Linked DNA regions of Nothobranchius furzeri. The protein of the gene in region 2 purifies or fractionates together with the protein of the main gene of each other region. This does not show direct contact. Links are inferred from orthologs where the notes say so. Each region holds a gene or a part of one and is shown on either strand. Other genes may lie near its edges.

Region 1 (3,964 bases), on a different chromosome or scaffold from region 2:
CTGAGATGGAAGAAGGAAGAGCGAACAAGAGAACTGACATAAGGATCCAGGGTGAGAGCTGGGTCAAAGGTCACGGCAAGATTCCTGACAGAAGGTTTGGTGTGGGAAGCAAGCTGACCAAGAGAGTCTCTGACTTTGGGAACCAGCTTGTCTGGGGCACAGATGAGGATCTCAGTCGTATCTTCATTCAGCTGAAGAAAGCTCCCAGCCATCCAGGTTTTGATAGAGTCTAAGCAGGTGTGTAACAGCTGCAGCTGAGATGTCTCATGGGGCTTAAAGGAGATGTACAGTTGGATGTCATCTGCATAAGGATGGTAGGAGATTACTTTGAAGGAGCTCAGGATGTGCTGAAGAGGAAGCAGATAGAGGAGGAAGAGCAGAGGCCCCAGCACATAACCTTGTGGGACACCATGGGTAAGAGAGGTGGTGGAGGACCTAAAGTTGGAGACGGCCACAGAAAAGGAACGCTCAGAAAGATAAGAGGAGAACCACTCCAGAGCAGTTCCTGATAGGCCTACCTAGTCTCTCAGCCTCTCCAGTAGCAGGTGATAGTCAACAGTGTCAAAGGCTGCAGTCAGGTCCAGCAGGACCAGAACAGAACAGTCCCCTGCATCACTGTGAGTCAGAAGGTCATTCGAGACCCTAAGAAGAGCTTTTTCAGTAGAATGAGCTCTACAAAAACCTGACTGGAAGCTATCATAGGTGTTATGTTCATCAAGAGCAGCTGTGAGTTGTTTAGCCACAACCTTTTCCAAGATCTTGGAGATGAACAGAAGTTTAGGTGGTGGATGTGAACAGGGCAGTAGAAGATAATGATGTCATTAGCTAGTCTGTTGTTGCTTTGTGTTTGTAGTTGGTGATCTCTCTGGGAGACCCCAGAGTCGTTAGCTGTGAATGGTAAATGATAATGATAATTGACCACTTGAATAGCGCCTCTCAGAGTAAGGACTCCAAAGCGCTTTACACTACAGTGTATCATTCATTCATTCATTCATTCATTCACACACACACACACACATTCTCACACTGATGGTGATGAGCTACGATGTAGCCACAGCTGCCCTTGGGCCCACTGACAGAGGCGATGGTTAGTGGTTTAGCCTGACTCTACAAGTCATCATCCCCCCACTCTTGAACGTCTCCTCAGTCTGTTGAGCTGCTTGAACTCTGATGTGAACCTGAGGCCTTGTCGTCAAATGTTCGCAGAAATAATACTATATTCCTTCCTACGAACGAAATTTAGGGTGGTGGTGCGAACGAGCAAAATCCTGATTTATGAGACATGCAGTGACCATTCGTGTGCATGTTCCTCCATAATCAGCTGTTAATAAATCCCACCTGTGATATCCAGATGCTCGTGTCCTTTCACTGTCATTTACATACAGAAACACACTCAATTCACCATATTTGGTCACACTACGTCCTCAGCATGTGAGGGGAATCCCTGCATTCCTCCTGGAAAAAAAGCTTGACTGACAGCGAGATCGAGGCACCGGCTGCTGAAGTGCGAGAGAACCAAACAGGTGGCAGAGGTTGTAAACGCAGAGGAGAGGTCTGTCAGGAATAAATGAAAATGGTTCCACATCAATTGAATATGATAAATCATAGCGTAACTAATTGTCATTTACATTTAAGAAGTCATTCTGTTTGTAGTTAATTTTATTTGGAAATGTCTGACACTGCAGCCTCTTCTGAGCTGTCTGTCATTCAGTTTGGTTATCTTGGCAACAAGTGCACGATTGGGGAGCAGAGAAGGTTCTGGAGGGTTTTCGTAGTTGTAAAATAGAGTATGGGCTGGAATCGGATTTGCGCGGTTTGTCTGTCGCTCCACACAGGGTCCCAAATTAAAAGCATAGATCATAGATCAGTGCGCTCATGGAGGATGTGTTCCCTCCAGAGTGGACGTTCTGCCAAATCCTCTGATAACACAAGATCAGCCCTTTTACAATGTCGGGTTTCCGTCGGTCACAGATGTCTTTTAAATGTTTTGGCATCAGTTATGTGACAATGCTCTTTTTCCACTGAAATAATTACTGCTTAAAATAGTTTGTGGATGAGGAACACGTGTGGACGGTTTCCCAGTTCTAGCACTAGATGCTGTTTGTACACACGGTCTGAGATTTTGTTCTATGTAGAAACATTTTCACGCACACGTACAAAATGATGAATACCACACAATGCGTAAATTAGTTGCTACGCATGACATGTGTACAGATCGGTGCGTAAGTACGGTTGATAAGTGAGGACTCAGGATGCAGCAGTCTTCACTGTCGGCTTGCTGAGCTCCAGCTTCTGCCTGTGTGAGAGGATCAGCTGGATCATCAGGTGGTCTGAGGAGATTCTTAAATAAGAATCCAAGATGACACATGTCTTCTCCTTTGGCAGACCTCCTAGATGTAGTTCACAAGTGCTGCAAATTCCTCAAACTCACTGTCCCTGTGTTGCATCGTGTTGCATCGTGATCTGGTTTCATCATGTTTGCTTCCCCTGAAGTCTGAGCTGCAGCCAGGTGTCTCTTGAAAGACTGGAGCTGTCAGTTCCATGAAAGTCCTTTTGGTGTTTTGATCTCAACCAAATAAACAGCTGAACTTCTGTCCTGATGAATTTTCTCTATTGAAACAATGAAAAGTGGGACATTTTTAGTGGTTATTAGTTATAGTTTAGTGACTTTGTGATAACATCTCGAGACATTTGGTAAAATGTTCAGAGACCCTCATTAACCGATCTGCTCTGCTCTGGGCAGGTGAACCGAGGAGAGATGGTGGGTTTAGTGCGGGAGCCTCAGAATCCGTATGACAGTAACGCGGTGAAGGTCACAAACATCTATGGAAACCAGGTTGGACACATCAAAAAGGAGCTGGCTGCAGCTATGGCCTATATGATGGACAGAAGCTTGGCTAAAGTCGAAGGGTGAGCTCTGATTACTTCAGAATAAGATTTCTTAAAGGATCCCACATGAAAACCAGTAACTATGAAACACTCATTGCTAGGGTGGTGCACACAGGTGTGAACAACCCCTTCTCTATGCCAGTTATGCTGTCATTCTGGGGGAAGGAAGAGGACAGGAACACTGTAATGAAGCACATGGCGAGTCGAGGGTATAAACTTAATCCAGGCTCGCCAACCGGTGAGCTCCCATTTTCTTTCATTGCATCTTTTTAATCAACACCTTTATTATCACTCACTTTTGTTTGTTTTCAGGTGGAAGCCTGGCTTTGTATGGCACCTCGGCCTCCTCATACAAGAAGGGTGTGACCGTCCCACTGACAGCAGAGGAGGTCATTAAATCTGAGCCAGTTTCTTCCAGAGATACAGATAATATTGTTTATACTTGAATTAATTTGATTCTGAAAATTCTTAAACATTTTCCATTTGTTTTTATCCTCCAGCTTAAGAACGCGTTTGATAACTTGTTTGACGGTTTGATGGAGAGTAAAGATGGAGAGAAAGAAGCAGTTGAGGTAAATATGATCTTATTTGATGAATTCTCTTAATTATACTACACCTTTTTGTTTTTTTTTACAAAAATTCTTCTTCTTTTTTCCCTTCAGTCTGTGGCCACCGCCCTCCTGCCTCATCAGAAACAAGCTCTGTCCTGGATGTGCGCTCGGGAAAACAAAGACGCGCTGCCGCCGTGCTGGGAGAAGAGAGGCGAGCTGTACTACAACAGCCTCACCTGCTTCTCTGCTAAAGAACCACCGGGGAGGGTTCGGGGGGGCATTCTGGCCGACGATATGGGACTGGTGCGTTACACACGATACACAACTTTTATTTATTAGGAATTTTTTTTATTCATAAGAAAACGTGCTTTTCAGGGTAAAACGTTGACAACAATCGCTTTGATCCTCACCAACTTCCACAAGGGAAAACCGCTGCCTGTGGAGAAATGTGTAAGCAGCCATCTTTTTTTCCTGCATGAGTGATTAGTAGCGATTTAAATAAATGTCTGTCTACAGGAGGAGCA
Region 2 (3,964 bases):
AATTTATCATGATACTTTTCATTTTTAAGTGTGATTTCTTTTGGGGTGAGGGTAGCTGCTGCTGGGAAGCCTTGTGAAGCACGGTTGCCCCACACACACACACACACACACACACACACACACACACACACACACACACACACACACACACACACACACACACACGCACACACACACACGCACACACACAGTGGAAGCAGCTTCACAGCTTATTTTTCAGCTTGTAAGGAACAATATGTCACATGGTGAGAGGCACTAAACAAAAGCTACTGGCTTTTATGGTTTTGCTACTGAGATTGTTGTTAATAAAAGGTTATTTGAGTGGAGGTTTCTGGAAACGGCTTTGTGTTCTTCTGCGCTCTTTAACCCAACAATGCCTTAAAGCAATCTTAAAGAGCAAGTCACCCCCAAATCAACTTTTTTTTTTGCTGATAAACTATATAAATGTGTGTCTAATTGTGCTGCAGACATGTGTGGTCAATAATTTGGTACTTCAGTGCATTTTAGTTAAAATTTAAATATTCTGCCTAAAACTGTCAGTGTTGCACCGTCGTCGGGTAAAAACTCTGCACTGCATTGGAATTTAAATCTGCCACCGCTGTTGGCTAAGAGGTATGCTATGATGGAAACTGATACATTTTGATGTCACAATGCCGTTGTGAGCCTGTGTGTGTGTGTATTTGTTAGCGGCTCCGCCCTCTCTGTCTGCTAGGCAACAGCATTTGTTGCATTTTTCAAACAGGAAGTGAGAGTTGATTAAGAATCTGGTTGGGGTGACTTGCTCTTTAAGTTTGTCCTTATTTACAAAGTGTCAGACATGAAATCCACATTTCAATCTGGTTTTAAAACAAAGAGCACCATATTGGGGGGTCTCAGCTTGAAGGACAAAGTCCTGGGGGAGACAACACAGCCTCCCTAAAGCACATGGAGAACGCGGGGAAAAGACTGCTAAGTCACTTACAGACAGGATGAGGCGGTACTTGAAGTTGGGGAAGTCTTTATCGCACTTCTCACAGCGGAACATGCCGTTGTGCTGGTCGACCACTTTTTTGTTGCAGTCTTGGGTCGGGCAGGCCTGATAAAGGCAGTTCTCCTTCCGCAGAAACACCACGGTGGCTATGCAGGTGTAGTAGTCGGCCTGGATGAAAACAACATCAGCAGATGTTCAAGACGGTCTTCATGACCTTTATGTTGTGTGGGGAACATGTCGACAAAACTGCACCAACATTATATTAAGAAAAGGAGAATTCAGAAAGAAAATAAATAAATAAAACGTTCCGATTACGGTTAAACTACCAACAAGAGTCTGCCGACTAGCGGGCAGGACGCGAGCTTCGCATTCTAGATCATCAACCAGGAATAAGCAACAGCAAAGCAGGCAGCGTGAACAGGACTGAAACCGTCGGCTACAGAAAGGTTTTAACGCACTTTAATAGAAAGATGTAAGCAAACCCGTCGCATCACAACAAATCCATGTTGCACCCTGACATCTGCATGACTTTGTCCTACGTTTTGCAAATCCCTGGAGAAATCCTCCAACAGAAGGGAATCTGGGCCAGTGCACACTTTGATAAAAGATAAAAGGCACTTGTTCCAGCTTACACCGCGGGCACGCCACCTTAGTGCCTCCCGTCGTAAAACGCCTGCGGTGATTAGATAAATAACTTGAGCGCACACGACAAAAACGCCCATCCAGATGTCACCCGTCACTGCCTTTTCAGTAAATGTCTAATTAGTGCGACGCTGACCGGTGAGAGGAGGAAGGAGAGGAAAACTCTGTTCTTCATGTCGTGACCGACTCTTACAAGTGGTGTCAGGAGAAGGTTCCTGCTTACTCTCAGAAAAGGACACGGCGTCGTGGACACACAAAGACAGATCTAGCTGGCGGGGTCTTAAGAAGGCTGACCCTCTCTTCTACTCCTGCTCACACCATTTGTGTGAGGCATTTGAGGAGAGCCCCTTTGCCACAATCAGGTCTCATCACATCACACTGAGAAAGAACGAAGGTCTTTGTGTAACCCCCAACAATTGTTGATCCGTCCAAATTTTATGTAAGCAACACTGAAGAGTTTGACACTTTAAGCTATTGCTTTCAAAATGGTTTTAGTGGTTCTTCAGCCAGAAACGTGAGCAGATTCCCACTGGACAGCACTCAGCAGCCCTCTGCTAACCAGAAACGGCACTAAACTACTTTAGTGGTCCGGGTAAGCAGCCTGCCTGCTTTGTTGTGCCGGTAGCTCAAATAAAGGCTGGCGGTTTGATGACCATCAATAAAAAGCCCCAAAACTTTTTGTTGGCATCATGGCCAGACCTTAAAGTAAAAAGTTGCTTTTGGATGGATGAAGAAAAACTTGAGAAGTAATAGATTACAAAAAAAGCTCACGTAAATTCAATAAGTCAAATACTGTGTGTGTGTGTGTGTGTGTGTGTGTGTAAATTTGTTCATCAAAACAAATATTTTGTGTTTTTCTTTTCTTAAATTCATGCACTTTATTTCTAATATTTTCTATGTCATGAGGACATTAATATGAAGTCCATGGTTAATTACTAGAAACTTTGCAAAGGTCACATTTGAACAAGAAACTTTCTACAAACCTGTAAGAACATCTTTTTAAAAGGGAAATGAAGGGAAATGTATTGCTTTACTTGTTTCATTGCAGAAAGCAGGAATGGACCCAATGTAATCTTCATAATCAATAGCAGAGATAAATGTGACTTTCAGCGTGAACATCCACCGCAGTGCGAGGACACCAACGATGCAGAGGGATTAATGAGCGGAGGGAGATAAATGTTACTCAAATCAGATTTTTAAGCACATCTACCAGGCGGTGCAGTAAAAATTATATGGTATCGATTATAAAGATTCATCACGCCGACACGGAGCTAAAAACCTTTCTTCTGAAGTGAAGAAAAAACCAAAGCTGCAGCGTTAAACACCCGTACGACCCTCACACGGTCAGAACAGATCCTGCTCGAGTCGCTCGATTCATTAAGAATCTTTCAGTTTGTTCTTAAAACTCTTCAGTCGTGCTTGAATAGCATCATGTCTGGAGTCACTATGATGTTGATATTTCATGGCGAGGAGACACACGTCTACCTTTTCTCCGTGTCCCAGATGCTCGTTCTTCACGTCGGACAAAGTCTTCCAGTTGGTGCTTCCTCCTCCGCTGCCCTTCGTCTCCGTCAGAGACTGTCCATCCATGGCGTGGCCTTCTTTGTCAAACCTGCAGAAATCCAAGTCAGTCGGTGACTGCTGACAGGAGCTCAGTTTAAGTAGAACAATTACACGGTTCAGGCTGATAAGTAACCGGTTAGGCGTTGCACTGGTTGATACCTGGAATGTTAGGAAACTAGTTTATCCTTTTGCTGGTTTAACTAAGCAGAGGGATTTCATTAGCAGAGCATAAAAGAAAACAAGATCAGATAAAAAGACTTTCTGCTTCAGTTCTTGGGCAGTTCTGTTCAACTTGACATTTCAAAGCAATCATAGTGGGTGAAGTAACAAGTCAAGTTTTAAATGTGTGAAAGAACCTCAAGCGCCAACGCTAAAAGGAGGTTTGTTCACTTTGTGCAGCTTCTTCACCTTACCGTGAACAAAACTGACGCACAAACACCTCAACACGAGGAACAAAGGTTGCCAGATCCACTTCAGGAAGTTAGACGGGCGTATGATGAAAATTTGTAAACTGAAATCTGGACTCACATTTGATTGGTTTAACAATGAGTCGGCATGTTAAAGTGACAGTGTGCATTTTCCCTGGCGACAGGGGGCAGTTAGGGCTGGGTGATTAATAGAAAATGCATCGTTATCTAAAATTCTAACTAACCGATATAATTTCTTCTAATGACAATAAATTCAATTATTAAAAAAATTAAAAGATGTGTGGCAGTTGGTGACGTTCACGTCCCTTTAAGAAGCCGTACCACCTGGAGTCACATGAAAATGGTAAATGGCCTGTATTTG

What was found. Proteins that work in one complex are often made in the same cells at the same time.
Region 1: the proteins of rpa1 (region 2) and hltf purify together in Homo sapiens (affinity purification with mass spectrometry, with the first as the bait; 4 studies listed by BioGRID). This does not show direct contact. The link is inferred for Nothobranchius furzeri from reciprocal best matches to the Homo sapiens genes RPA1 and HLTF.

Annotation. Positions count from the first base shown.
Region 1 is NC_091758.1:23,578,294-23,582,257, reverse strand, and holds part of hltf (helicase-like transcription factor), read left to right. Parts: intron 1-2,743; coding exon 2,744-2,910; intron 2,911-2,990; coding exon 2,991-3,127; intron 3,128-3,201; coding exon 3,202-3,278; intron 3,279-3,389; coding exon 3,390-3,461; intron 3,462-3,551; coding exon 3,552-3,743; intron 3,744-3,815; coding exon 3,816-3,890; intron 3,891-3,956; coding exon 3,957-3,964. UniProt on the Homo sapiens protein: Has both helicase and E3 ubiquitin ligase activities. Possesses intrinsic ATP-dependent nucleosome-remodeling activity; This activity may be required for transcriptional activation or repression of specific target promoters.
Region 2 is NC_091753.1:47,677,476-47,681,439, reverse strand, and holds part of rpa1 (replication protein A 70 kDa DNA-binding subunit), read right to left. Parts: intron 3,225-3,964; coding exon 3,098-3,224; intron 1,139-3,097; coding exon 962-1,138; intron 1-961. UniProt on the Homo sapiens protein: As part of the heterotrimeric replication protein A complex (RPA/RP-A), binds and stabilizes single-stranded DNA intermediates that form during DNA replication or upon DNA stress.